2 linked regions of the Saccharomyces cerevisiae S288C genome follow. The gene in region 2 interacts genetically with the main gene of each other region. Each region holds a gene or a part of one and is shown on either strand. Other genes may lie near its edges.

The links.
Region 1: of LEU5 (region 2) and MRX3, a mutation in one rescues a mutant of the other (synthetic rescue), as found in Saccharomyces cerevisiae (2 studies listed by BioGRID, with this or other methods).

What each region holds. Positions count from the first base shown.
Region 1 is NC_001134.8:41,117-44,589, forward strand, and holds MRX3 (Mrx3p), read left to right. Parts: upstream 1-2,160; coding exon 2,161-2,973; downstream 2,974-3,473. Other genes in the region: condensin subunit BRN1, read left to right, coding at 1-1,979; ROX3 (Rox3p), read right to left, coding at 3,140-3,473. UniProt on the Saccharomyces cerevisiae protein: Component of MIOREX complexes, large expressome-like assemblies of ribosomes with factors involved in all the steps of post-transcriptional gene expression.
Region 2 is NC_001140.6:107,073-110,385, forward strand, and holds LEU5 (coenzyme A transporter), read left to right. Parts: upstream 1-1,739; coding exon 1,740-2,813; downstream 2,814-3,313. Other genes in the region: oxysterol-binding protein related protein OSH7, read left to right, coding at 1-296; QCR10 (ubiquinol--cytochrome-c reductase subunit 10), read left to right, coding at 754-759, 823-1,050; TCD1 (tRNA threonylcarbamoyladenosine dehydratase), read right to left, coding at 2,956-3,313. UniProt on the Saccharomyces cerevisiae protein: Required for the accumulation of coenzyme A in the mitochondrial matrix.

The DNA.
Region 1 (3,473 bases), on a different chromosome or scaffold from region 2:
AAACAGGTAAGTTATTGAGCGGGTTGGCACAAAGAAAGACGAATGGGGCATCTAACGGAGATGACAGTAACGGGGGAAATGGTGAAGGGCTTGGAGGTGACAGTGACGAAGCAAATATAGAGATTGATCCCTTAACTGGTATGCCTATATCTAATGATCCTGATGTGAATAACACTAGGCGGAGAGTGTACAACAGAGTTTTAGAAACAACATTGGTGGAGTTCGAAACGATCAAGATGAAAGAGCTAGACCAGGAATTAATAATTGATCCATTATTCAAAAAGGCCTTGGTTGATTTCGATGAAGGTGGCGCCAAGAGTTTATTGTTGAACACATTAAACATAGACAACACTGCAAGAGTCATTTTCGATGCATCAATTAAGGATACACAAAACGTAGGGCAAGGTAAACTTCAAAGGAAAGAAGAAGAATTAATTGAAAGAGATAGTTTAGTAGATGACGAAAATGAACCTAGCCAGTCATTGATAAGTACTCGTAATGACTCAACCGTAAATGATTCCGTTATTAGTGCACCTTCCATGGAAGATGAGATTTTATCTCTTGGTATGGATTTTATAAAATTTGATCAAATTGCGGTGTGTGAAATTTCAGGATCGATTGAGCAACTAAGGAACGTTGTCGAAGATATTAATCAAGCGAAAGACTTTATCGAAAATGTTAACAACAGATTTGATAACTTCTTAACTGAAGAAGAATTGCAAGCAGCTGTCCCAGATAATGCAGAAGATGATAGCGATGGCTTTGATATGGGCATGCAACAGGAGCTGTGCTATCCAGATGAAAATCATGACAATACATCACATGATGAACAAGATGATGATAATGTCAACAGTACCACAGGAAGTATATTCGAAAAAGATTTGATGGCATACTTTGACGAAAATCTAAATAGAAACTGGAGAGGGAGAGAACATTGGAAAGTACGAAATTTTAAGAAAGCAAACTTAGTGAATAAAGAATCCGACCTGTTGGAAGAAACGCGAACTACTATAGGAGATACTACTGACAAAAACACAACGGACGACAAATCGATGGATACGAAGAAGAAGCATAAACAAAAAAAGGTTCTGGAAATTGATTTCTTCAAAACGGATGATAGTTTTGAAGACAAAGTCTTTGCCTCAAAAGGAAGGACAAAGATTGACATGCCGATTAAGAACAGAAAGAACGACACACATTATTTACTGCCGGATGACTTCCATTTTTCCACTGATAGAATAACAAGATTGTTCATTAAACCGGGGCAGAAAATGAGTCTGTTCAGTCATAGGAAGCATACCAGAGGCGACGTTAGTTCGGGGCTTTTTGAAAAAAGCACAGTTTCTGCCAACCATTCAAATAACGACATTCCTACTATTGCAGATGAGCACTTTTGGGCGGATAATTACGAAAGGAAAGAACAAGAGGAAAAAGAAAAGGAGCAGTCTAAAGAGGTTGGTGATGTGGTGGGTGGAGCGCTCGATAATCCGTTTGAAGATGACATGGACGGTGTTGACTTCAACCAAGCTTTCGAAGGAACAGATGATAACGAGGAGGCCAGTGTGAAACTTGATTTACAGGATGACGAAGATCATAAGTTCCCCATTCGAGAAAATAAAGTTACTTATTCAAGAGTTTCGAAAAAAGTTGACGTAAGAAGATTAAAGAAAAACGTATGGAGATCGATCAACAATTTGATACAAGAACATGACAGTAGGAAAAATAGAGAACAAAGCTCTAATGACAGTGAAACCCACACAGAAGATGAATCAACAAAGGAGCTCAAGTTTTCTGATATCATTCAGGGTATAAGTAAAATGTATTCGGATGATACACTAAAGGACATTTCAACAAGCTTTTGTTTTATATGCCTTCTACACTTAGCCAATGAGCATGGGTTGCAGATAACTCATACCGAAAACTATAATGACTTGATAGTGAATTATGAGGATCTAGCGACAACACAGGCAGCGTCATAGTTGATGATCTTTTTTTTTTTTTTTTTTTTTTTTTTTGTGCTGCAAAGTTTCTTAAAGCCTTCGGGCTTACGAAATCCTTTATCGCCGAAAGGGGACCGCTTCGAAAAGTGGATATAAAACAAGGTATTTATTTTTATAGACAATGACCAAATGACAGGATAGATCGAGGGTGAGTTCCAATATGTCCAGAACTATTCCATTTCTATTTAAATTAGTCAACAGGGCAGTAATTTTGCCTACGGCAGGTTTTACATTAGGAGTTGGTGCGTTTGTAAAGGCGTGGCCCGATGATGCCGGTGTTCTATCATTGAATGATCCGCAAACGCCAGCGGAGTTGATTAGTGCGACCAAGAGCCGCCAACCTATGGAGCTGCAGAGGGTTGACATCCTCGCTCAAATCGAGAAAAGCGAGGTTTACAACAAGTTGGCCCAGGATGAGAAGATGCACCATGTCTTATTCAGTGAGAAAATACCAAGCGGGCATAGGGAATATCATGTAGGACAAGGCCTCTTGTTCGGCAAGGGGAAGCTTGAAATTGATCCTTTGGTGTTCCATGATGTGAATCACGGTGAATTAACCGTGATTTATCACTTAGGTGCTGAGTTAGGGAATCGAGACGGTAACGTCCATAAGGGCTTGTTGTCATTGTTGCTGGATGAAGCATTGTGCTATTGTGGCTTCCCTTTGTTGCCTAGTAAAAGAGGTGTAACTGCAAGGCTGTCGCTAGAGTTTTTTGAGGACATTCCTGTAGATACTACGATTATACTAAAAGCAAACGTCAAAGAGATTAAAGGCAGAAAGTGTATCATTGAGGGACACTTGGAACAGTTTCCGTTGGAAGTTTCTTCTCGAAATGGAACTAGAAGTTGGAACTTACCACATATTTGGGGTTTCAACCATAAGCAGGAGATGGCAAAAAAATTTGCCAAGGCCAATTGTATTCTCGTTGAGCCTACTTGGTTCAAATATTTTAAATGGCTTGATATGTTTTGAAAAAGCATGCCTGTCTCAAAATAGCCTATTCCGTGTTAATTAATATTCTATATTCAAAAAAGTTAAACATATATACTGCATGTACTTACCGCCGAAGCACAAACGTGCCACTTCCATGAACACTTGCTCTTTATTTATAGTGGGGCTGATATGCGATGGCGTAAAGCTACTCCAGCCTCCTTCTTTTCATATCCTCATGACTGTCACTATGTGTTGGTGTAGCCATCGAACTTCCACTAGATTTGTTCTTCCTTTTCTTACTATTGTTACCTGAATTTGAGCCGGATTGGCTTTTTCCTGTACCGTCTAGATCAAACGCCAAGTCGTCTATATCAAACGGCGCTTGGGCTCCCCCTTGGTTCTGGTTTGCGAACTCGCTTGGATATGACCTTTCAAACTGCGATAGTACCGAAGAGCAAAGGTCCCAATCGAAATTTGGAGGCTGAAACAATGCTATGTCTCTATTGCGCAGCTGTTCGCGCCATTGTTGCTCTGACATG
Region 2 (3,313 bases):
CTGTACGTGACCATGAAGTAGCTACAGAAGAAAAGTTTCAGATAGAAAACCGCCAAAGAGAGCTGGCCAAAAAGAGGGCCGAAGACGGCGTTGAATTTCATTCAAAACTATTTAGAAGGGCAGAGCCAGGTGAGGATTTAGATTATTATATTTACAAGCACATCCCTGAAGGGACCGACAAGCATGAAGAACAGATCAGGAGCATTTTGGAAACTGCCCCGATTTTACCAGGACAGACATTCACTGAAAAATTTTCTATTCCGGCTTATAAAAAGCATGGAATCCAAAAGAATTAGGCTTCTCATTCTATTTTAATTATACTAGTACGATTTCTCACTCTGTAATTTAATATCAGTGTAATATGCACCTAGTTATGGGTAGTTTTTGCTAACGTTACGAGCCGCGAAACTGTCCTCAATCTTCACCACTACCTCTAATGACTGAAGAATGCTATGCGATATAACGCTGTCGCACTTTGAATATATACTTATATTTACATAGTTTTCAAGTGCGTATTACTATTGCAAAGTAGTATTTTGTCACGTGATTTTGATCCAATTAAAACTAAATATGGTTCAACCCGTTGTTTCCGCATCAAAAAACCATACCATTTATCAAGGGGACGGGATATATCACATAACAGTTTGAATGCATAATTTGTTATAGATATCTTCTGGAATAATCTTCACAGCAAAAGCGCAAGTCGAATAATATATCGATAAATACAATCCATAAGACTTAAAACTAACCTCAATGGCGGTAAGTATCCTATCATATTATGTGAGCTAGAACCGAATTAGTATACTAACATTTATAATACAGTACACTTCTCATCTGTCTTCAAAAACTGGTCTACATTTCGGTAGACTTTCTTTAAGAAGTTTAACAGCTTATGCTCCGAATTTAATGTTATGGGGTGGTGCTAGCATGCTTGGGCTATTTGTATTCACAGAAGGATGGCCTAAGTTTCAAGATACGCTATACAAAAAGATTCCGTTGTTAGGACCTACATTGGAAGATCATACTCCACCAGAAGATAAACCTAATTGAAGCCAAAACATCCAACCGGCTGAGTGATTTTATTTATTTGTTTTACGTTCTTTTCTATCATTTTGGAAGAGGAATTAATGCAAAACACATTTGTATTTTTTTTTATTTTTGCATATTCTCGATTATCTATACATATTTTTAAACTGGATCATAAAAGGTATAAAAAGTAATTGATCCATACAACATTTTTAAATATTTACCCCTCTATTTTCAGAATATTTACTAAAACATCAGTTATCAAAGAGTAGGGAAAAGTTAACTACAGGTTTGTTTTTCCTCTTTTTATGTATCTTTTGAGCTTTGTAATTGGGCAGCACATCTCTATGTTTTCAGGGAAACCTATTTCATTCGCCATTTTGATGATTTAGGCATACGCCAATGCTAACGCCGTTTCTTGTAATTTCTATTTTTTCAAATGGAGTACTTTACCTTCCTCCCGCAGCTGGAACTTTCAACCCGCCGGAAGAAAAGACCAAATAATATTATAATTAATATTTAAAACCCTTGAAAGATCATCTCTTAAAATAACCTCAAATAGTGTAAATCCAAGCACTTGAAAACTTTGCCGTTTTAGAACTCGTTAAATCCTTTAAGAAGGACATAACAGCCAGAGTAACAAAATAGTTTGCTCGTGAAAGCACCAGTGAAATTTCTCGAGGTAACTGCTAAAATAAACACAGTTCTTAAGTATGACGCGAGATAGCCCAGATTCTAACGACAGCTATAAGCATATAAACAAGAATACTACACAAAAAACCTCGTTTGATAGAAATTCATTCGATTATATTGTACGATCGGGATTAGCTGGAGGTATATCAGGTTCATGTGCGAAAACACTAATCGCACCCTTAGATAGAATAAAAATTTTATTTCAAACATCAAATCCGCACTACACAAAGTACACAGGCTCACTAATAGGATTAGTAGAGGCAGCCAAGCATATATGGATCAATGATGGGGTAAGGGGGTTTTTTCAAGGCCATTCAGCAACCCTTTTAAGGATTTTTCCATATGCTGCTGTCAAATTTGTTGCTTATGAACAGATTAGGAATACCTTGATTCCCTCAAAAGAATTTGAGTCACATTGGAGAAGGTTGGTGAGTGGTTCACTGGCAGGATTATGCAGTGTTTTCATAACATATCCGTTAGATCTCGTGAGGGTTAGGTTAGCATATGAAACAGAACATAAGAGAGTAAAGCTAGGAAGAATAATCAAGAAAATATATAAGGAACCAGCTTCAGCCACGCTAATCAAAAATGATTATATTCCTAACTGGTTTTGTCATTGGTGTAATTTTTATAGGGGTTATGTTCCAACTGTACTTGGCATGATACCATATGCAGGTGTTTCCTTTTTTGCTCACGATTTACTTCATGATGTGCTGAAGAGTCCTTTCTTTGCCCCTTATTCAGTATTAGAACTTTCAGAAGATGATGAATTGGAAAGAGTACAGAAAAAGCAGAGAAGGCCTTTGCGTACGTGGGCTGAATTGATCTCTGGTGGTCTAGCTGGTATGGCCTCCCAAACGGCAGCATATCCATTTGAAATTATTAGGAGAAGGCTCCAAGTAAGTGCACTGTCACCAAAAACTATGTATGATCATAAATTTCAATCGATATCTGAAATTGCTCACATAATATTTAAAGAACGTGGAGTACGTGGATTTTTTGTTGGTCTAAGCATAGGTTATATTAAAGTAACACCTATGGTTGCATGTAGTTTTTTCGTCTATGAAAGAATGAAATGGAATTTTGGCATTTAATTATGCATCGCATTTTGTTTTATTTGCATATCGCAATGAAACCGTCTATTCGGGTTCTATAGGAAGTACACTGCATTACACTATGATGTAAATAGTATTAATAAATCTATATTCAATATGTTGTATTTTTGATCTCCCATTGCTAAGAATAGTACTCCTCCTCTTTAAAAAGCCTCTCAATAAAATCGAGAACTTCTTCAGAGTATACAGCTGTCAGTTTCTCACCATCCAGCAAAATCCTTTTTTCGTGAATTTCTTGCTCTTCTTTCGTCATCAGAACAACATTGGTTAAGGAGATTTCTTTGTTAGCTTCCCATTTTGTTAGAGCTAGTTTCGTAGAGTATCCGCTAATAGGAGACTTGCCTCTAAACATTTCTTCAACTATATAACCGACCTCTTCTAATCCAAGCAATGACGATCGCTCCTTATTTTCATTCAACCGCGCCATCTGCTTTTGGAAAGTCTCTAGGATGCTGTCATAAAACTTTAACCTATTTTTG